3 linked regions of the Schizosaccharomyces pombe genome follow. The gene in region 1 interacts genetically with each later gene. Each region holds a gene or a part of one and is shown in the gene's direction. Other genes may lie near its edges.

Region 1 (4,238 bases):
ACTACTGACATAAGCCATCATTAGTTATATAAATAAAAGGAACTACGATAAAAAAAGGCGTAGGTAACATTGTCAAACGGAACACGAGATATTAACAAAAGAGGAACAATAGCACCACCTTTCCACAGTCTACAATATAATGGTGGTAGACGCGTCGCAACACAGAAAAGAAACGTATCTTTGGCAAAACAAAAAAAAAATTTTAAAGTCAGTTCCTTTCAATGAAGAGACTACCAATTCCAATTTTTTAACCTTTAGGATAAAAAAGCGACAATTCTAACAAACTTCGACAAACCATATCAAAATCCTAAATCACCAGCAAAAAATCCAAATTAAGAGTTGGACTGCCCTCACTGCCTCACCCACTTCACCTGTCATAAACACAAACAAAACTACTTACAAAACAAAATTGCCACGTTGACGTATAAGCTACAGCAATCAACACAGCAACACTGAATATCAAATTGCTAATAGTACACAAAAACAAGAATGAACAAAATTAATGCCGGCTAACCTTCACAACACACGCGCGCATAAACTGCCTATTACACTAAAACAAGCAATATGCAATATTTACTTCGTTGTATAGCGCCAAACAATAACAGATAGCACAAATGACTTAAGATTTATAGCGACTTGGCTTCAAAGGGACAAAAAAGTAGTGCCCTATAACAAATTAACGATTAATAACGATATCGAACTCTTCCGCGCGACTAGCAATTTCAAGAGTCGAACCGAGGAAAAATGTGGTTTGCAGAGGGAAGGAGGAAACATGTTGGTATAAGTCACCGTTGTCCTCAGGGTTAGGGTTTTGATGTGAATCAACATTGCGGCGGATGAACGATTAGATGATAATTTCAATGGAGGGCGACTGACCAATTATCTTTCTCCTACGTCACCACTGGCTAAAGCTATCAGGCGCAACGCAAATCGCGGGGTGTTATTGTAAACAAACAAAACCAAAAAATTCGGCCAAACTATGTGTTCTGCAAGTAAACAACTTAATAATAATACAATTAAAAGATAAATGATCAACAATAATTGCAGGTTAACTTCTTACAAAATTTCGATAAAAGTTTCAAACCCACAAAGCACATTTTCTGTTTTAAGTGTTTGTAATCACACACTCACTGCTACAACAACAGTAATTACAGCCTTTGTCAAGACAATAAACAGATAGAAATACGGAAAAGTGCAATTATCCAATGTAATCCTCCAATGTACTGACAAAAAGGTTCAATCCAGTTTAAGCAAGGTTAGAAATGTTTGTTTACACAATTGGTTTCAGCCGTGCGCTAGTAGTCTTAGTATGGCCAAACATACGAAAAAAGTTAGAATGCAAGATTCGAACTCGGGATTTCAAGAACTCCGAACGGGACAAAGAATCTTATGGAACGGAATGGAATCATTTCTCGGTCATTTGAGAAACCGTCCTACAATCTGATTGGTTAAAAGGACCACACCATGAAAAAACCCATGTGATTTTTGCGAATCAGAAATCGGTGAGAGATGGGAGTTGAACGCTTGTACATAATTACGTGACAGTGGCAAAATCTAGGCTCTCCCAAAATTTTTGATCACAGTTAATGTTCCGCAAATTTTTAGAACGTTGAGTCGCGCTATTCCATTTGAAAACCGTTTAACAAAACAAATTAAATGTTCTTTATTTCTAAGGAACGCAGTTTGAAGATATACGAACACTAAATTCGTAAGTTGTCATACTGCATAACGACAGTAAAACGTTATTAAAGGTTGAGTGGATGCTAAAACAGAAGGTGAGATGTAGATAAAGATCAAAAAGCAGTTAAACAATGCATTTGTTAAGGTTATAAACATAAGAATAGATTTTAAAAGATCCATAGTTTAAATAAAATGAAAGACCATTGCTTAAAATGAAAGAAGGACGTTTGTTATTGACTTTTTTATGACTTTACATGGTTTGACTCGTAGAAAATCCAAACTTTAGATAGAAAGCGATTCAAGCATTGACTTTGGCATATAATTCTCCTTGTTTCTGTATTAAGGAATTTAACCGATATACAGAAAAGTTTTGTATTCGTTGCCAATACTAAATTTAACTTGAAAATGTTCAATATTGAAAAATAGACAGCTTATTGAAGTGACCAACAGTAGCATCTAATAAATTCTTGACTTTTTCCGCTTGAACAAAATGTGCTCTTCTTTTGATTATTTTTAACAGCTCATTGATATTACCAGTTTGATTATAAAGTAAGTTTGAGGTTGGTTTTTGCTACGTTGTCATCACCAGAGGGTTCATCGTTCAATGTTCACCGCCATATGTTGTTCACTTTCTAAACTTACGCAGAAAGCACCAGAGTACAAGTACCTCACCACCAGTCAGTCACCTCTACTATTTGTGTACTGCACCGTGAAGAATCTTCGTAATTTATGCGACGAATCTAAAGTTACTTCCTATAATCATTAAGGCCTCACTTTTATTCTGAGATCGCTATCCGGTTGTATTCTTTTGTTTAAAGCATTATATCATCAACTCACCATGAATGTAAGTATTACTGAAATTAATTACCTTGCCCAATTTTTTTGTTATATTTTTATTATATAGCCATCTGTAAATTCATCTTATCATTGAATGCATATTTCATCGATTTTCGTCAGTATTGCTCAGAGACTTTATGAATTTGCTTTTCACATTCTTTGTCGTTATCCTTCTTTACAATATCAGCTAACTTATTCTTTTAGTCTGAAGACGCTGCATTAGATTTACTCCGACGATTAAACCCAAAAGATATCTCTAAAAACCTAGACACAATTCTTTCCGTCGCTCCCGATTTAGCTGATGTCCTTCTCTCGTCTGTTGATCAGCCTCTAAAAGTAAATACTTGTTCTGAGTCAGGTAATCAATATTTGTTATGTGACTTTAACAGGGATGGAGATTCGTACCGCTCACCATGGAGCAATAAATATGATCCTCCTTTGGAGGATGGTTTAGTTTCTACTGATCGAGTTCGTAAATTAGAAGTTTCTTTGAATGAAGCAATCCGTGTCTATCTTGATCTTTATTACGAGGGCGGTGTTAGTAGCGTTTATCTTTGGGACCAAGACGATAGTTACGCAGGCGCCGTTCTCATAAAAAAGGGTATTTTTATTTTCTGTCAATTTCATTATATAATTCTAACTTCATTTAGCTTCTACTTCTAACTCAAGCGGATGGGATTCTATTCACGTGTTTGAATGTCTGCCTACCACGGAAACCAACGTTTATGATTACCGACTTACAAGTACTATTATCCTTTTCCTTTCATCTGGCTCGGAGGAACAGTCTGCCTTGCCTTCCAAAGCTCTTAACCTTTCAGGTCATTTGACTCGCCAAACTTCTCAACGATTACCAGCGGCAGATGATGACACTGAGATCGCTAATGTTGGCAAATTGGTTGAGGAAATGGAAACTCGGATGCGCAACTTCCTCCAGGATGTCTACTTTGGAAAAACTAAAGATATCATCAACCAGACTCGTTCCATTCAACCCGTTTCCGATGCCCAACCAAATGATTCGGCTTTGCGTTCAGTTTTAAACGATCTTTCCATTTAGGATTGCTTTTTGTTTTCTTTCCGTGATCTTCTCATAGTATTCGTTCCATCTTCAACGAAAATAGTCATAGAAAGATTGACTAATATAAATAAATACACCGATAATCTAATTTTTTTACAACAGTTTTAAAAGAAATTATTGAATTTAATTGTTCAGTAAAAAAGTTTATATAAATAGCATTAAAAAATATACGTTAAGAGACTTTATAAGAAAGCTGTTAATCGAAGATCATGTAAAAAAGGTCATGAAATAAGCTGATATGGTTTAGACGAGGAACGTGATCGAAGAGAGGAGTAATTTATTGGAATTGGAAGACGCGCCAGGTATAATCGGTGAAAAAGGTCAAAATCCATACCCATCTTGTAATGCCAATCTGGCTTTTGAGAAGTTAGCGGCTTGGTACGTAGCTGAACTAACCAGAAACCAGTATACTGCATTAACTCAAAAAGCTGGGATTGGGTAATTCCACGGGGAAACGAAAAAATGCCACAGTTCCATGAAATCCAAACTATGTTATACATTATATACAACATTTGTTCCGATGAAAATGAAGTCATGGGTTTTTGATCAGGCGAAGGGAGTTGAAGCGGGCATGGTAAGGGAATACTGGTATACTGAGCTAAAAATATACAAATAAAGGATAAAGTTAAAGCACAATCAGGATTTA
Region 2 (8,557 bases), on another chromosome or scaffold:
TACTTTCTAACATTTTTTATACAGCTGATGAGAGTCAAATGGATATTATTGATGAATGCATTGGGCTGTTTCGCGCCAATTGTTTCTTCCGCAATTTTGAGATTAAGGGACCAGCAGACCGTACTTTAATTTATGGAACATTATTTATCAGTGAGTGCTTGGGAAGAGTTAATGGACTCAATTATCGTGATGCTGAACGTCAACTTAATAGTTTAGCGTTGGAGAATTTTTCTATTCCTGGCTCTGCTGGCTTTCCCTTGAATGCATTATATGCTCCTCCCCTTTCTCCTCAAGATGCTGGTAAGATTCACCCAAACTGTGGCATTAGACATATAGATGTTTGTGCCGCTAATAGCTTTCTTGCTTTTTTTTTCATTTGCTAACTATTAAAAAAAGAAATAATGCGTACATATCTTACTCAATTTCGTCAGGAACTTGCTTATCGTCTTTTGTCCCATGTATATGCAACTGAAAAGGATCATCCCAGCAAGTGGTGGACTTGCTTCAGCAAGAGACGTTTTATGAACAAAGCTTTGTGAGTCTATTAATTAATAATTTGGCTCATACTGTATTTCAAAGCCTTTATGTTTTTCCGTTTCCTTTATTTCAAATGCGGCTTATAAAGTTTTTGAAGCGTACGAATGGCTTATTTAATGTAGGCAGTTTTATACGTAGATAGTAGATGCAAAAATAATCGCTTTACTTTCATGTACAAGTTATCAATTAGCTTTGTTAATTATGCTAAAGGAATATTTGAATGATTAAAGTCGTAATATTCAATGTTGGTTCAAAAATTTTTATTGAAATCGTAATTTTGATTTTTGCAAACGGCAGACCCAATAATGAGGATGGTATATCCATTCAAGCATACTTCGTTTGTCCCCCATATAAGTCGTGTCGACCGAATTGTGCTTTAAAACCTCAAATCCCATACTATCCATCACGTAAAACAGCTGCTCGAGAGTCAATTCAACGAAAGGTTGTTGCTGGCTATCACTGTTAGAATTAGAAGTACCTTCTGACTCAAAATGATACAATAAAGGCCCGAGATTTATCCAATAACCTCCATCTACCAAACAGTTTTTAATTGTATCCAAATAGTCCAGTATGTTTTTTGTAGTGTCTATAAAGAAGCAGGTAGCTACTACTTGAAACGAATCACGACTTTCTTCGGTGCCGTATACCTCCAGGAAATCCCCGGCTGCCATTGAAAAGTTTTGTGAATTCCGCAGATATTGAGAGGGAACTGCATCAGGAATATTTAATGAACGCACCTGGTCATCACGCATGACATGGTTCGAAAATGAATGAATATAAGGATACACAAGAAACTGATTTTCCTGCTTTACGCAATTCAGTATGAAATGCGACGTTAAAAGCATAAAATATGAGAACTCATTTCCTTGGCATGCAAAGCCTATTAAATGTTAGAAGCTATGTCCAAAAATCCAAATTTAGAAAGAAGTTAGAAAACATGTAATCAGATAAATAATAAATCATGCTATTTTTGATTGATAGTATCAAGTGTACCTACCTTCCACAGCTATATCAAAGGCCAATCTTCCTAAGCCGGAACCTGGAACAAGTACACGAATTTTAGATCTGTCTATAGAATCAGATGGGAAAAGTGAATTTAGTTCCTCGATGAAAGGAGCATATGTAGTACGGCGTTCCTCAACACATTCGGTCGACCAATCTCTCGCAATTTGCTTGAGAGTGCTTGAAACTTTTTGCATCATATCAACATTGACATGAAATAACTCATTTTGATCGAAATCACTGCAGAACACAGGAATGGCTGCGTTAGCGATTGCTTCAGCAAGCACGCTGTTCTGCTCGATACATTGATCAATCCTTGAAAGATGCTTTAAAAAATTGTTGTCAGAGTCCTGTAAGAGTAAGTCCTTGTGTTCAAAAGACAACCTGCTCATCGATTTTCTCTTCTGTTGTGTTATTGTATGAGCATATTGCCTGTACAAAAAGAACGCGCTTAAAACTTCTTTCAAAACTTTTACTTCTTCCTCATCATATTCCATAGTTTTTTTTGATGTTTCTGAGCTCTATCTAGACTTTAATATTTTTATCATCTAAGTCGCAATTTTGGCGTTGTGGAGAAGTTAAACCTCTAACTTGTTGCTTCATTGAAGTTGGAAGTGTTGAAGAAACCAATAAGTTAAGAATATTATGGTTAATATAATTATGTTTTATGTATTTCATTAGCTTTTCAAGTTATGTTTATATCTACTGTGTTTGATTGCAATATTGAATCATCTCTGCTGAAAATCCCTGCAACGCGGTGCCTCTATGAAAATAGTGTTTGCCTTTTGCAAAAATCCCATAGGTTTTATTTGGATAGTTGTCAGACAATATTTTACAACAGCAGCCGCAAAGGAAATTCACCATGCTTCAACAATACCGGAACAGCTAATCTTCTGAAGCATCGTTATAGTAGTATTGTGAGTTTTGTAGATTATAAGAAAATAATATAAGAGAATCTTGGTGCACGCAGTAATATCATACAATATTTATATTGCAGCTTATAAACGAGACTGGAAATACACGTGAAAAGGTAGTCAGGTTAAAAGTTTAACCCTGTGACATCTGGCTAATCTTTTATCCTATTGCGCAGTTAAAAGCGGGAATTACTTCTTTTTCTTATATTGTATCAAAAATTGTTGGCTTCAGTGACCTAAACCCTTGAACAAAAGAAAAAAAACACGAATTTTCACGGCCGGAAAAACTTTCTGCAACGTTTTACAAAGGATCTACTATCATAGTAAGTAGAAATTTTGGCTTCTTGACATATAGTACTAAGTAATTTTCAAGTCGATGCATCAGTTGACTTCAATTGAAAGAGCTTGCTAGTTTGTGATGTTTATGGCATTTGAATTCGGTAATATCGCTAATTTGATATGGACTTACGTTTAGCTTTTTATTCTGTAAAAAAAATTAAAATTCAATGTAGTTGATATCCCAGCTATATATTCAATCTAAAGCTACAACGCAAGACATCGTCAAGTAGTAAATTACTTTTTACAATTGCAAATTAACTTTTAACAGATTGGCTAAGCAAACGTGTATTAACTCATTTAGCGAGCGGATCAAAGTTTTGCTCTACGCTTCTGTAAGTATGATGTATGTGCATCAACAACACGACGTTAATCCTTGTCACGTAGCAACTGCAAGCCACCCAAAGCACACATCGTGTGGTTTCGTTTACTATACATTTTTTGGTCAAATTTTACTTTTAAAGAAATGTTAGCTCTTAAACTTCAAAAGAAGTATCCGGAGCTCACTAATGAGGAAATTCTAACCTTAACCGACCAATTTAACAAACTTGATGTGGATGGAAAGGGATATTTAGATCAACCTACCACTATTAAAGCCTTTGAAGATTCAAAGAAGGGTTCTTACGATGAGGTCCGTGAAGCAATTCGTGAAGTTAACGTTGATTCGTCTGGACGTGTTGAACCCGAAGACTTTGTAGGAGTAAGTAATGTTTTCCGTAATTTTCACGATATGTGTCTCTATATCGCTTCATCAATTGGATTACTAATGCATATAGATTTTCAATGTTTTAAAAAAAGGTGTAGAAGGTACTGAAGTAAAAAAGGGTCGGATTACTATCAAAGGATCTTCCTCAAGTGTTTCTCATACCATTAATGAGGAAGAGCGAAGAGAATTTATCAAGCATATTAATTCCGTCTTAGCTGGAGACCCTGATGTTGGTTCCCGAGTCCCCATCAACACTGAAACCTTTGAGTTTTTCGATCAATGCAAAGATGGTTTAATCCTCTCAAAGTTAATTAATGACAGCGTTCCCGACACCATTGATGAGCGTGTACTCAATAAACAGAGAAATAACAAGCCTCTTGATAATTTCAAATGTATTGAAAATAACAATGTTGTTATTAACTCCGCAAAAGCTATGGGTGGTATCTCCATTACCAACATTGGTGCCGGCGATATTTTAGAAGGTCGTGAACATTTGATTCTTGGTCTTGTTTGGCAAATCATTCGCCGCGGTCTCCTTGGAAAGATTGATATTACTTTACATCCCGAGCTTTACCGCCTTCTCGAAGAGGATGAAACCCTTGACCAATTTCTCCGTCTCCCTCCTGAGAAAATTCTTCTCCGCTGGTTCAATTATCACTTAAAGGCTGCCAATTGGCCGCGTACTGTCTCTAACTTCTCAAAAGATGTTTCAGATGGCGAGAATTATACTGTGCTGCTCAACCAATTAGCTCCCGAACTCTGTTCACGTGCTCCTCTTCAAACTACAGATGTTTTGCAGCGTGCTGAACAGGTTTTACAGAATGCTGAAAAATTGGATTGCCGCAAATATCTTACACCTACCGCTATGGTTGCAGGGAACCCTAAGCTTAACCTTGCCTTTGTTGCTCATCTCTTTAATACTCATCCAGGTTTGGAGCCTTTAAATGAAGAGGAAAAGCCGGAGATTGAACCATTTGATGCAGAAGGTGAGCGTGAGGCACGTGTTTTTACCTTGTGGTTGAACTCTCTTGATGTTACTCCATCCATTCATGACTTCTTCAATAATTTACGAGATGGCTTGATTTTGTTGCAAGCTTACGATAAAATCACACCTAATACCGTTAACTGGAAAAAGGTGAACAAGGCACCTGCATCTGGAGATGAAATGATGCGTTTCAAAGCTGTTGAAAACTGTAATTATGCAGTGGACCTTGGAAAAAATCAAGGTTTTTCTTTGGTAGGAATACAAGGTGCTGATATTACTGACGGTTCTCGTACACTCACCTTAGCATTGGTTTGGCAAATGATGCGTATGAACATTACCAAAACTCTACATAGTCTTAGCCGTGGAGGTAAAACTCTTTCAGATAGTGACATGGTTGCGTGGGCCAATTCTATGGCTGCTAAAGGTGGTAAAGGTTCTCAAATTCGTTCATTCCGTGATCCTTCTATTTCCACTGGTGTGTTCGTCTTAGACGTACTTCATGGAATTAAGAGCGAATATGTTGATTACAATCTTGTTACCGATGGTTCTACTGAAGAACTTGCTATTCAAAATGGTATGTATATATATTTGATATATTTTTAATTTTCATTACTAACACATCGTTTAGCTCGTCTTGCTATTTCTATCGCCAGAAAGTTGGGTGCCGTAATCTTTATTTTGCCAGAAGATATTGTGGCCGTTCGTCCTCGGTTGGTCCTTCATTTTATTGGCAGTTTAATGGCCGTATAATTTGTTTCGACTTAACTATAGCTTTTAACGAAACGATTTAACACATGTGTTTTTCCCAATTTAATTACTTATATTGCGAACAACTTCGGAAGTGAGTACGTCGCTTTTGACTCGCTATGTTATTAGTGGTATGTCATATTATAGATAACTTTGTGTTGTTTTATGATACATCTTAACCCGTTTTTGTCCCTTTAGTATTGGGTAATCCTTATCCTAATTAATGTTTGAGGAATTCTGAAGCTGCACGACGAAACGTAGTCATTTTTTCTCAAACTGTAGAAAATAGTTAGCTTTTTAATTTCATAATGAAGGGAAGATCATTTGTATATGTAACTAATGGTAAGTCTCTGTAGGCCCAAATAGTACGGACTGCATATGCAAATCAGCTTTCTAAATAAAGCATTCGTTGGGAGAACGTTGGTCTACCAAGCCCTAATTTTCAAACACAATAAAAAGAAATAAAAATGTATATATGTCGATTAACATTTTTTACTTTAATAAAATATTCGGAATCTTATAACAATATTATTTATTATCAGATTACTTAACATAATACACATTACGTCCACCGTATATTGTCCAACTATGTCAGCAATACTACACTACGCTATGCTACACTACGTTGCGTATCACTATATGTCATATGTTGGAATACTAGCTAAGATCCGTTTATTGATAATCACGGGTAACTATCCTTCTATATACATAGATACCCGTTGATAACAACTATTTAGAAATATTATAAATAGCGTTACAACTGAACCTCGTTCCTCAGTTCAGTTATGAGCTATATTAGTGATAGGTAACATTATAACCCAGTTAATACAATACCTATACTCAGTTGCTACTTATACAACCTGTGTATTGTAATATAATAGACCACAAGGAAAACTCACCGCAGTTCTACGTATCCTTAAATCAGATACCAAACTGCGTAGCTTACAAACTACTTATAACCACCATTCAAAACAGGTTAAATCGTTATTGCCGATTGGACTTTAAAATACATATTGCTACCTTTACTGCTATCTAAGTTTAAATTCGAAGATGATTAAGCCAAAGAAGTTGTCGTCGTTGATGAAACAGGCAGTTGAGGAAACTGTACCGTCTATCATGTAAGCATTTAGTGAATTTGAAGTTCATTCTTACTTCAAATCCAGTGGGTACACCTGTACTATTTTGGAGCTTAGATATATAAGTTTATTGTTGAAATATTCTGAGGTATTAACAAACTAGGGTTTTTACCACTACTGGCTCGCTGCTAGCTTATGTTTCTTTTGAAGATCCTAAAGATGGTTTAAAACGTCTGGATTTAGCTAAAAGGGTTAGATCTATTGCGGCTTTAGCAGGCAACATGTATTCACTTTATACTGCAACCAACCCTAGCCCTTTGGTCGCGGAGTCTACAGACGACGTGATTGCTCATCAAAGAGATGTACTTTTTGAAACAATAATTGAGTTTGAAAGGGGGAAATTATTAATAGCCGCCATTTCAATTGATGGGGCTGAAGATAAACTTTACTCCAAAGACCCATTATTATTAGGGATTGTTGGAACAGAAAACGCAAAGGAAGGAATGATGCAAATCAAATCTGAACTTTTGAAAGAGTGTATCACCAATGAGCTTTCCACGCTTGGAAAACCAGTCTAACTTATTTTAAATCTATTTTGATTTAAACTCGATAATGTTTGGAGCTTTACTTGCATTGTTTGTTACAATCATAGGCTTAAGCCTGACCTTGGTTTAAGAAAAGAATGCTACAACACATCATTATATTGTTAATTTTCTCTTCCCTTTTAGCAGATTATTTTGAATTTTTCATTTGGACAAAGGATATATTGATTTTACGGTTTATTTGAATGTTTGAACTTGCTTTCTGGAATTTTTGAGACATCCTTAAAACTTGAACTAACGTTAATTTGTCCGAATTGGGCGTCGGATTAGCAAAAACAAATCATCTAAACCCTGGAAATTTTCATCTTTCTCTGCAAATCTTCTATGATGTTTTCCGCCCAAATGCTATCGATGTGTTAGTGCTGTTTTTGCTATGATTGGTTTAACTTACCCTTTCCAAGTCCTTGTATCTCTCACAGCAGTTTTCACAATATCCTGATTTTGTTTCGATTTTCACCTTCTTGTGAGCTAGAGGATCTGCATCGAAGGCATTAGGTGGTTGTCGAGGACTTTGGTTAGCCAAGGTGTTTTGTTTGTTTATTAAACGAGGTTCAAGAAGGTTAAGTGGAGACATTGCGGCGCGTTTCTCTACCGGTAAGAGGTTTTCTGGCTTTGGAAACTCTGTCGGCATTTGTTTTGCACCATCAACTGCTGATTCTGTGATATTATAGTCCCCCATGATTTGACGCACCAACACACTCGCTGAATTTTTAACAACGTTATTTTGGTTAGTTTGATTAGTGCAACTTAAGAGCTGTTTTCTGATTTCGTGAGCTGGATGGTTATGTTTTGTGATTTTTAACTCCCTTCTTCTACCAGTATTAAATGGACATCTTCCTTGTGCGGTTATAGCAAGACTTGGCCATAAGATCTCTCCAGAATCCAATGTTTTCTCCCATTCTCGTACTGCAATTGGCTTATAGTATTGTGATAAATCTCTAATGCAGAGGAAGTATTCACGAAAGTACTCGACGTTTTTGCTTGGCACGTAAAAGTCTTTGTCTGATGTACCATACACTTTTTCACCGTCTAGGAGAGATTGCAAGCACGAAGCTGAGGTATTAACCAGGCTATCAGAGTTGAGTAATGTAAAGAGGATTCTGTTCAATAGTTCTAAGAAAGTTAGCGAAGGTTACACTGATATATTAAGAAGACTTACTGTCCAGGAGCCAAATTTTCATATTGGCAGTTTTCGAAAGGTAAAGTACATCATTCGGCTGGCACATTTCTGGGTCGGTAGTCCTGGTGGTAATGAAATGTGTAACTTCAAAAGTAAATAATGTTGCTACTTTCTATATATGTGTTAGTTTTGATCTGCGCAAGTTCTTGCATGAACTACTTACGGCTCCAAGATTATTAATCTTTTGCGTAACACGACGCTTGATTTCCTCATCAACGTTGTCAAAGTAAAATATAAAGTTGGGAAACGCCAATCGATAATCTCTTTGCCAGTAACGAAGTTTGGAAACTCGAATGCTGGTTCTTGGTATATCCTTGTTTCGCGTTAGGGAAGGTTTTACACAGTAGTTTGAAAAAGCAGTGGGTGGGAGAGCCATCTTTGCTGTGGCTTTAGCAGAGTCAAAGGCATTTTGATGAGGCATGTGCGTTTGTTGTTGAGGGTACCAGTCGGAGCATGAAGTTGCGCAAGCTGC
Region 3 (10,928 bases), 540 kb from region 1:
GTTTTGACTTTTAGCAGTTGAGGAATGTAAAAAATGTAGAAGGGCATATATATATATACATGCGCTACTGCAGCATCCGATTCGTAATAGCGGAACGAACTAAGGTAATACAATGTAAGCTCGTTATTTTTATGCTTCTTTTGTTTTACAGTCTCGATTTTTGTATTAAATTAATTAATTATTTATTTTTGGTTCTGTAAATAAATAAGAAAAAAAGTAACGACTTTTCTGTAGAATATAAGTTTAATTTTGTGACTTATTGCTGCTTATAGTGGGTTTATTGAAATACACAATATTACTCGAAAAAAATCAGACATTTTGAAAGACTAATTCAAACGTTAAATACAAATCACTATGTTTGGTATCCGTAAAAAGCACCTTGCTATCAATTAATAAATTACTACTTGAATTTCGAATGGATGGAGGCAGCAATAATTCAATTCTTATTTTTTAATGCTGTTCAATATTTATTTATTTTTTATGTTTCGTCCAAAAAAATATTGGATTTAAGTGCCGCATATAAAATTTAATTTAAAATACGAGCGAACTACTGCCGACTTAAAATAGATAATTTGTATGCATATTTCAAGTGGAATAAAGCCGATAAAAACGTAAAATTGAAAAATTATTATATGAAGTGGACTTGTTATAAACGGAGTAGTAAAACATAAAAAACCATTACTTCTTAAATTTTTCACTTCTTTAATCTGTACTTATTTTAAACAATTCTATTTGTAATTTCGTAAATGCGATATTTATGGGTTTATTAATTTCTTAAGTATAAGTAATACACGAGTGCAGTCAGCATAGCCAAATAATTAATTTTTAGAAAACAGTTATGAATTTCTATTTGAAACAAAGTACGATTGAGAAGCGAATTGTTCACTTGTCCACCGTTTGTATTTGTATATTATTTGCAAAAGAATAAAACGCAAGATAAATGTTAGCCGAAAATATAACGTTAGCAATGTTATTCCTTTTAATATTCAAGAATTGGTCGATCTTATCATACGAGAAACGTGAACGTATGATACAAAGCTATTCCCAGCTAATAAATAAATTTTTCTATGAATAATAATTTATTTATTAATCGTAGATTCAGAATTTAATTGAAATATTATAATAGCTCAAATAGAAAAATTCCTAAACACACGTACAATAAGATACGTTGCAACGCGTTAACACACTGTCGCTCTAACTAAAGCTATCTGTTTCATTTAACCATAACCAAGATACTTCGATAATTTTCCGCTTAGTCGCCTCACAAATAGGTTAGTGCAATCTTTTTTCAAAACCCTCACACTTTGTAGAAACTCAAGAAAATGTCCTTTGATAGAAAAGATATTGGTATTAAGGGCCTCGTGTTGTACACTCCCAATCAGGTATGTTATAAATGAGTCGCTACTTTATTTCAAAACTTCTCCTCCAAATTATTTGCATGCATTACCTACATCTTTTTTCAATAGTACAAATTTACGCAAGCTTCAGAGGAAAGTAATAGAAATACTTTCTCATTAAATTCCTTCAGAACCTGATATTAATCGTTTTTACCCTATAGTATGTTGAACAAGCTGCCCTCGAAGCGCATGATGGAGTCTCTACTGGAAAGTATACTATTGGCCTCGGCTTGACTAAGATGGCTTTTGTCGACGATCGTGAAGACATTTATTCCTTTGGTCTTACCGCTCTTTCTCAACTTATCAAGAGATACCAAATTGATATAAGCAAGATTGGTCGTTTGGAAGTTGGAACTGAGACTATCATCGATAAATCTAAGTCTGTCAAAAGTGTTTTAATGCAACTTTTTGGGGATAACCACAATGTCGAAGGTATTGATTGTGTTAATGCCTGTTATGGTGGCGTGAACGCTCTTTTTAACACAATCGATTGGATTGAGTCTTCTGCTTGGGATGGCCGTGATGGTATAGTTGTCGCTGGTGATATTGCTCTCTATGCCAAGGGCAATGCTCGTCCTACCGGTGGTGCTGGTTGTGTCGCCCTTTTGGTTGGTCCTAATGCCCCTATTGTTTTTGAACCTGGTCTACGTGGTACTTACATGCAACATGCTTACGATTTTTACAAACCCGATTTGACGAGTGAATACCCTTACGTTGATGGCCATTTTTCTCTTGAATGTTATGTTAAAGCTCTTGATGGAGCATATGCTAATTACAATGTTCGTGATGTTGCTAAGAATGGAAAAAGTCAAGGACTTGGATTGGATCGTTTTGATTATTGCATTTTCCACGCTCCTACTTGCAAACAAGTCCAAAAAGCATATGCGCGTTTATTGTACACCGATAGCGCTGCTGAACCATCTAATCCCGAGTTGGAAGGTGTCCGTGAACTTCTTAGCACCCTGGATGCTAAGAAATCCCTTACCGACAAGGCTTTAGAAAAAGGTCTTATGGCCATAACTAAAGAGCGTTTTAACAAACGAGTTTCCCCTAGTGTCTATGCCCCTACCAACTGTGGTAATATGTACACTGCCAGTATTTTCTCTTGTTTAACTGCATTACTTAGCCGTGTCCCCGCTGATGAACTTAAAGGAAAACGCGTCGGTGCTTACTCTTATGGTTCTGGTTTGGCTGCCTCGTTTTTTTCATTCGTTGTCAAAGGCGACGTCTCTGAAATTGCCAAGAAAACTAACTTGGTTAACGATTTGGATAATCGTCATTGTTTAACCCCTACGCAGTATGAAGAGGCTATTGAGCTACGCCATCAAGCACACTTGAAAAAGAATTTTACTCCCAAAGGAAGCATCGAACGTCTTCGTTCAGGTACTTACTACCTTACTGGTATTGATGACATGTTCCGCCGTAGCTATTCGGTGAAGCCTTAAATCACCGAAAAAAAGATTAGAATGCAAACTAGATACTGTTAAAATCTCTTTTAGTAGACTTTTTTTTGATACATGAATATGTGATTTTGACAACTTTTTTGTTAATTATTTAAAACTCATACGTATTGTAGTCTTAAAATGAATAACCTTCATTTGTAATAGCATAACCTAAATAATTAGAGTAAATTCGTCACTAACGGACAGTATCTTGAATTAAACTACTTACACCTAAAAACCCCCCACTCATCTTGATAACCCACATTTTCTTTGTCTGAGTAACAGCTACTCTCCACTAACATAGCCGAAAAATTGTGTGCAGTTACTTTATCTAGTTTGAGATCGAATGCTGAGTAGGTAGTCATCAGAAGTCTCAATGGACGTAAATGTGGGATTATCTAGACTTCAATCTCAAGCTGGGGCACCTGTTGGCACGAAAGGGTCGAACACTCGTTTAGCAGCCAAACAAAGAGAAACCCTTCAAGCATATGATTATTTGTGTAGGGTTGATGAAGCAAAAAAATGGATAGAAGAATGCCTCGGCACAGATCTAGGACCAACGTCTACATTTGAGCAGTCGCTGCGAAACGGAGTTGTCTTGGCTCTCTTGGTTCAGAAATTTCAACCCGATAAACTAATCAAGATATTCTATTCTAATGAACTCCAGTTTCGCCATTCAGATAACATTAATAAGTTTCTTGACTTTATCCATGGCATTGGGCTTCCCGAAATTTTTCATTTCGAACTGACTGACATTTACGAAGGGAAAAATTTACCCAAAGTTATCTATTGTATTCATGCCCTTTCTTATTTCCTTTCTATGCAGGACTTGGCACCCCCTTTAATCAAGAGTGATGAAAATCTATCTTTTACTGATGAAGACGTTTCAATAATAGTCCGTAGACTCCGACAATCTAATGTAATCCTTCCTAACTTCAAAGCTTTAAGTGCCGATTTTATGCTTCGTGCTAGTCCTGTTTCTTCTCGCACTCCTTCCCCTACACGATTTCCCAAGCATGCTCGTTTCCAAACCCTAAATTCATCAGATTCTGCATCTATATATTCGTCTCCTTATACTTCTCCTACTTTAGAATTTTCGAAGAAAGATGCTAGCGCTCGTTCAGACATCCTTAAGATGCACAGAAGGACGAAATCAGCGACACCTTCGTTAGAACAATTTAATGAACCATATAAACAAACTTTGCCTAGTCATTCAATCGAATTCGAAGACTCTTTTTTTCAACCCCCTTCTCAAAAGGGACATATGCAACGATCTTTCCTCACAACATTTTCAGCACCCACAAGAAGACGGGAGGCACTATTTTCTACCACTTCTGGACTTAGTCAGCGTAGCCCTGTCGATGAGAAAATCGTGAACGCGATTCAAGCTTGTGGTCGTGGCGTACTTGTGCGCTTGCGTTTGGTGGATATGTTACAATCCCTCGTGGAACAAAGTTCTTCTGTCGTACTTCTGCAAGCCGTAATTCGTGGATATATATCTAGAAATACATACAGAATACGAAAGAAAGCATACGATGAACTTGTAAACTGGGTTACTTCTATTCAATCCATCTCTCGTGCATATCTGATACGTGCACAATACCGTAAAGTGGTTTTACAGGAGGAGGCAACGAAGTCAATCCAAACGTTACAAAGCATTATTCGTGGGGGTTTCTATCGTCGTAAATACCACTCGTTAATAGAGAGGCTAGACTTATTTACACCATCATTTGTGTTAATTCAATCCTCAGCTTTAGGATTTCTTACCCGTCATGCAATAGTTAATATGCTTGACAACCTTTACAACTATATCCCTCTCTTTAACCGGATGCAAAGTATACTGCGTGCAAATATGTTTCGGAATGAATGGTCTAACTTTCTAGATTCCGTACAATCGTTTCCCGTTTCTTTTCACTCTATTTGCAAAGGACGCTTGATAAGGGATTCTATAAACAGATTAAATGGATCACTTCTGGGAGAACTGGATAATTTTATTAAACTACAAAATTTATCTCGAGGATTTATGATTCGTCGGGCATTTAAAGAGAAATTGGAGAAATTAAAAGCATCAACATCCTCTTTCATTGCTCTACAGGCAATTGTTCGGGCTTTTCTTTTAAGAAAAAACTTGGAAAGCATTTATGATTCTTTTCAAAAATCGCACCTATCTGTCATTAAAGCCCAATCTCTTTATCGGGGATTCATTACTCGAACCAAAATTGATTATTGTAACGACTATTTGTTAAAGCGATTACCAGATATCGTGTTTATGCAATCTGCAGTCCGTGCAATTCTTTTACGAGATGATGTGAATTATACTGAAGTTCAGTTAGATTCTTTTATTCCTGAAATTGTATTGTTACAATCTTTAATTCGTGGGTATCTATCTCGAAACAAATTTTCAAGAAAACTTCAAAATTTTCATAAGAATATGGAGAATCCCATAGTTGCGAAGTCCATTTTTAGGGGTCGTCAAGAAGGGTTGGCTTATAGAGAACTTGCTACGGCCAAAAATCCACCTGTTATGACGGTCAAAAATTTTGTTCATTTATTAGACGACACCAATTTCGACTTTGAGGAAGAAGTATTGCTTGAAAAAATGAGAAAAGAAATTGTGCAACAAGTACGAGACAATGAAGAAATTGAAGTTCACATCAATGAACTAGACGTGAAGATTGCTTTGTTGGTTAAAAACAAAATCAGTTTGGATGATGTTTTAAAACATCACAACAAGTATAAATTTGGAAAGCAAAGCACTGAATATTTAAAAATTAATACTCTGTCTATGAAGTCACTCAACAATTCAAGCAGAAAATTTTTGGAACTTTATCAGTGTTTTTTCTATGTGTTACAAACCAACGAAATGTACTTAGCAAATTATTTTCAAGCGCTAAAAACTGAGGGCACTTCCTCTGTAAAGATCCGTCATGCTGTTTATTTAGTTTTGCAAATTTTCGGCCATGGCTCTAACCGACGAGAAGAAGTACTACTTTTGAGATTCATTTCCCAAGTCATTAAGCTAGAAGCAGCTTTAGTTAATTCATCTCAGGATCTACTTTCTGATGACTGTGTCTGGAAATTACTGTTCACTGGATATCGTGGGGACGTTCGTGAAGTGAAGCTTTGGAAAACTATTCTCGGCCGCATTCACAAGGTTTTAGTAGCCGACAATCATTTGGATTTTGAAATCAATCCGTTGACTCTATTTAAAAGTTTCAATCCTGAAGTTGCCAGTCAAACTGATAGTCCAAAACTCACTTTGTCGTTAGCAATGCAACACCCACCGACAAGAAATCTATACGTTAGCAGACTTCGTGAACTTCGAAAACTGTGTCAATCATTCCTAGTAGCACTTTCTAAGAATATTGAAAATATTCCTTATGCTTTATGCTATACTGCAGCACAATTGAAAAATAGCTTACAACGATATTTCCCCGCTGCGCATAAAGAAGAAATTTTTGGCGTAATAGGGAAATTTGTTTATTGGGCTTATGTCGCTCCTGTACTTGTGTCACCCGATAACTTCAAGTTGGTTGATGGCTCTATTACAGCTCTTCAACGAAAAAACCTTTACACATTGTCAAGCATTTTGTCTGAGATCTTTTCAATCGAGTCCTGTGACTCTAAGCAACTTGGTTTTTTTAGACCACTCTCCGAGTTTATTGAGGTGTCCAAGCAGGATACCATGTTGATGCTAGAAAGGCTTGTCGATGTGGTTGATCCAGAGGTGTACTTTGAGTTCGATGCTTTTGAAGACCTTGTTAATACCAAGCGGCCAGTAATATACATGAAGCGAGACGATATTTTAGGCATTTATTCATCTATTGCATATGTCATAGATAGTATTGCTCCTCCTGATGTGAACGATCCATTACGCGCTGTTGTCAATAGCTTAGGTCCTGTTTCAGAGCAAGACAATGACTTTGTGCAAGATGAAACTGACGTCAAACTAGAATTGAATCCCAAATTTTGCACTATAGAAAATCCCGTTGCTCAGGAACGGACTCTTATTGTTCAGACAAAGAGATATATATTATTTATTATTCGAATTCAAAATGGCCTTAATCTTTTGGAAATACTTGTCAAACCGGTTACAGATTCAGACGAAGCAGCATGGCAAAATTTATTGGCAGAAGAATCTGAAAAGAATGCAAGGAATTATGATTTGTTTGATGATTCTATCTTTTCAATGTCATTTGCAGAACTGAAATACACTGCACTAAGCAATATAGTGGAAATGGAAAAGCTTGGATTTGCAAACCGACGGAATAATTACCAAGATATGGTAAATTCTATCGCTCTAGATATCCGTAATAAGTCGAGAAGAAGGATGCAACGACAGCGTGAACTTGATGCGGGACATCAAAGTTTGCTTAACTTACGAGAAAAAAGAGCTTTCCTTGATTCGCAGCTAAAAAGTTATAACGAATACATTGAACAAGCTATGGAAACATTACAATCAAAGAAGGGTAAGAAGAAGCTTATTCCTTTTTCTAAACAGTATTTTCACATGCGAGATCTCCGAAAATCTGGACGCGTTCCTCGCTTTGGGTCGTTCAAGTACCCAGCTCTTAAACTCTATGACCGAGGAGTTTTGGTATCAATATCTCATATGCCGCAGAAAGAAAAATTGTATATTACTATATCAGCCGATGAAGTTGGCAAATTTATTCTGGAAGCAACAAGCCCGACAGTTAAAGTTTCGAGCCCAAGGTGTGAATTGCATTTGGACGACTTGTTGTCTGCTCAATATAACAAGGTTTTAACTTTGGATGTTTTGGATGGCCGTCTCAAATTAAACACCAATATGTTCTTACATTTGATTTTCTCCAAATTTTATTCATGAGACGTTTCACTTTGTTCATTTTTCCGTCTCTTTAACTACCCAATGATTTAATTCGAATTAACTTAAAACCGTCAAATATCTTTGCACATTAATACTTGTCCATATTCTTTTGGCGAAATATGTATACTATGTGATATTTTCTCCCCTTTAATTCTGATAATTTGCACAGTTTTCCCATTTCATTCACTTAGTGTGGGGGGTTTTTTTATCACTACTTGTGTTTACTTATACTGTACAAATCTTATTTAACTCGGTGTTATTTTTCAAATTTTTTTTTTCAACTAAAGCCGTTGAACCTGAAACACTAAATCAAGGAATAGGAATTTTTGGTTTATGCATACTAGTTGTACTTGGTAATTTATACTTTCTGAATTAGTTAAAGGTTTATAATTACAAATAACACTTTTTTATAACAAAATGTAATTTATGTCAATACATACATCTTTACTAATTCTTATAAGGCGATTCGATTGAGCATGATTATGTTCAAATTAACCTTTGGATATGGGTAGGTGTTTGGTTGACAAACTTCTTAAGCGTGTTGCATTTTAACGAAGAAAATTTGAATTTTCAAATCCCGTATAGCGTGTAAAAAAATATACATTAAACACGTATTATGAGCAGAAGACTACATAGACCTAATATGAAATAAAACGCACAAAAGAATATTACGCACAAATAATGGCGAGGGTCACCACCATACAAAGTAATATTCACTACCACAATTCAGCTGACAAATACCATTACCTAAATGGCGTCGTTACCACCGGGGAATCCTCCTCCACCGCCTCCTCCGCCTGGATTTGAGCCTCCTTCACAGCCTCCACCTCCTCCACCTCCAGGTTATGTGAAGAAAAGAAAAAACAAGACTCCAGCACAGTCTGGAAATCTTGAAAAGCAACTTAACGAAAGAGCACGCAAATGGCGCGCTTCTCAAAAATCAAAGTTTGGTGTCAAAAGGAAGCAGGGTTATGTTCAAACAGAGAAAGCTGATCTTCCGCCTGAGCACCTGCGCAAAATTATGAAAGACAGGGGAGATATGTCTTCTAGGAAGTTTCGTGCTGATAAACGTTCCTATTTGGGCGCTTTGAAGTACTTGCCACATGCTGTGCTAAAATTGCTTGAGAACATGCCAATGCCTTGGGAAGAATACAGGGAGGTCAAGGTTTTATATCATGTAACCGGTGCTATAACTTTTGTAAACGAGAGTCCTCGCGTAATTGAACCGCATTTTATTGCTCAATGGGGAACGATGTGGATGATGATGAGACGCGAGAAGCGTGATCGAAAAAATTTTAAGCGTTTGCGGTTTCCTCCTTTTGACGATGAAGAGCCACCATTTTCTATTGATCAATTGCTTGATTTAGAGCCGTTAGAGGCTATTAGAATGGACTTAGATGAAGAAGATGACGCTCCTGTTATGGATTGGTTTTACGAAAATAAGGCTTTGGAAGATACTCCCCATGTAAATGGTCCAACCTATCGTCGTTGGAAGCTTAATTTACCTCAGATGGCTAATTTACATCGTTTAGGTTACCAACTTTTGAGTGATTTACGCGATGATAATTACTTTTACTTGTTTAATGACAATAGTTTCTTTACGGCTAAAGCTTTGAACGTGGCTATCCCAGGAGGTCCGAAATTTGAACCTTTATACAAAGACGAAGCCCCAGAAATGGAAGATTGGAATGAATTTAATGACATTTATAAACTTATTATCCGACATCCCATTAAAACTGAATACCGGATAGCGTTTCCTTACCTTTATAATTCTAGAGCTCGAAGCGTTGCACTAAGTGAATACCACCAACCGTCTAATGTTTTCGTTCCTCCTGAGGATCCTGATCTTCCGGCTTTTTTTTGGGATCCCATAATAAACCCCATCACTTCCCGCCAACTCACTTTGCATGAACTAGATACCTCTCCCGAAGATTCTGCCATAGAAGAAGATCCTAATTTTGAAATCCCTTTCGATCCTTTCTTTCATTCCGAAGATATAGAATTTGAGCACACAGCCAGTGCTCTGATTTTATTGTGGGCACCCCATCCTTTTAATAAGCGATCTGGTGCGACTAAGCGTGCGCAAGATGTTCCACTGATAAAGCATTGGTATTTAGAGCATTGTCCTCCTAATCAGCCTGTTAAAGTTCGTGTGTCATATCAAAAACTTTTAAAATCCCATGTTATGAATAAGTTGCACATGGCGCATCCCAAATCGCACACCAATCGCAGCTTACTTAGACAGTTAAAAAATACTAAATTTTTTCAAAGTACTTCTATCGATTGGGTTGAAGCTGGTCTCCAAGTTTGTCGCCAAGGGTACAACATGCTGCAATTACTTATTCACAGAAAAGGGTTGACATATTTACATTTGGATTACAACTGTAATTTAAAACCTACAAAGACATTAACTACGAAGGAAAGAAAGAAATCTAGGTTTGGTAATGCATTTCACTTGATGCGCGAAATACTTCGCCTTACTAAATTAATTGTCGATTCTCATGTACAGTATCGTTTGGGAAACATTGACGCATATCAGCTAGCTGATGGATTACATTACATATTTAATCATGTTGGTCAACTTACGGGAATGTATCGTTATAAATATCGATTGATGCGGCAGATTCGTGCTTGCAAAGATTTCAAGCATCTTATTTATTATCGCTTCAACACTGGTCCTGTTGGCAAAGGTCCAGGTTGTGGGTTTTGGGCTCCCAGTTGGCGTGTATGGCTTTTCTTTCTACGCGGAATTGTTCCTTTGCTAGAGCGCTGGCTGGGCAATTTGCTTGCTAGACAATTTGAAGGCCGTCATTCTACAGGAGTGGCAAAACAAATAACCAAGCAGCGTGTCGATTCTCATCAAGATCTAGAATTGAGGGCTGCAGTGATGAATGATATTTTGGATATGATACCTGAAGGAATTCGCCAAGGCAAAAGCAAAACCATTTTGCAGCATCTTAGTGAAGCTTGGCGTTGTTGGAAGGCTAACATACCTTGGAAGGTTCCGGGTCTCCCTGCACCTATTGAGAATATGATTTTGAGATATGTGAAGTCAAAAGCAGATTGGTGGACCTCAGTCGCTCACTTCAATCGTGAACGTATTCGTCGAGGAGCTACTGTTGATAAAACCGTGGCGAAAAAGAATCTTGGCAGATTAACTAGGCTTTGGTTAAAAGCTGAACAAGAAAGGCAACATAATTATCTAAAAGATGGACCTTATGTAACTGCCGATGAGGCAGTTGC

What was found. Genes that interact genetically often act in the same process or in processes that back each other up.
Region 2: mutations in acp2 (region 1) and fim1 are lethal when combined (synthetic lethality), as found in Schizosaccharomyces pombe (2 studies listed by BioGRID, with this or other methods).
Region 3: mutations in acp2 (region 1) and rng2 impair growth when combined (synthetic growth defect), as found in Schizosaccharomyces pombe (2 studies listed by BioGRID, with this or other methods).

The regions. Positions count from the first base shown.
Region 1 is NC_003424.3:2,103,530-2,107,767, reverse strand, and holds acp2 (F-actin-capping protein beta subunit acp2), read left to right. Parts: upstream 1-2,334; 5' UTR 2,335-2,518; coding exon 2,519-2,524; exon of another isoform or gene 2,525-2,721; coding exon 2,722-3,118; intron 3,119-3,167; coding exon 3,168-3,571; 3' UTR 3,572-3,738; downstream 3,739-4,238. Other genes in the region: protein Atg14, read right to left, coding at 3,814-4,238. UniProt on the Schizosaccharomyces pombe protein: F-actin-capping proteins bind in a Ca(2+)-independent manner to the fast growing ends of actin filaments (barbed end) thereby blocking the exchange of subunits at these ends.
Region 2 is NC_003423.3:3,103,440-3,111,996, reverse strand, and holds fim1 (fimbrin), read left to right. Parts: upstream 1-3,188; 5' UTR 3,189-3,255; coding exon 3,256-3,489; intron 3,490-3,565; coding exon 3,566-5,054; intron 5,055-5,108; coding exon 5,109-5,230; 3' UTR 5,231-5,755; downstream 5,756-8,557. Other genes in the region: arc3 (ARP2/3 actin-organizing complex subunit Arc21), read left to right, coding at 25-300, 397-539; SPOM_SPBC1778.07 (carnosine N-methyltransferase), read right to left, coding at 798-1,417, 1,535-2,036; guanyl-nucleotide exchange factor Lam2, read left to right, coding at 6,278-6,345, 6,467-6,881; Spo4-Spo6 kinase complex regulatory subunit Spo6, read right to left, coding at 7,146-7,250, 7,297-8,018, 8,065-8,197, 8,249-8,557. UniProt on the Schizosaccharomyces pombe protein: Binds to actin, and functionally associates with actin structures involved in the development and maintenance of cell polarity. Plays a role in cytokinesis. Plays important roles in mating and in spore formation.
Region 3 is NC_003424.3:2,642,302-2,653,229, forward strand, and holds rng2 (IQ motif containing GTPase activating protein), read left to right. Parts: upstream 1-3,126; 5' UTR 3,127-3,215; coding exon 3,216-7,685; 3' UTR 7,686-8,126; downstream 8,127-10,928. Other genes in the region: hcs1 (3-hydroxy-3-methylglutaryl-CoA synthase), read left to right, coding at 1,323-1,382, 1,559-2,842; U5 snRNP complex subunit Spp42, read left to right, coding at 8,437-10,928. UniProt on the Schizosaccharomyces pombe protein: Component of the contractile F-actin ring; required for its construction following assembly of F-actin at the division site.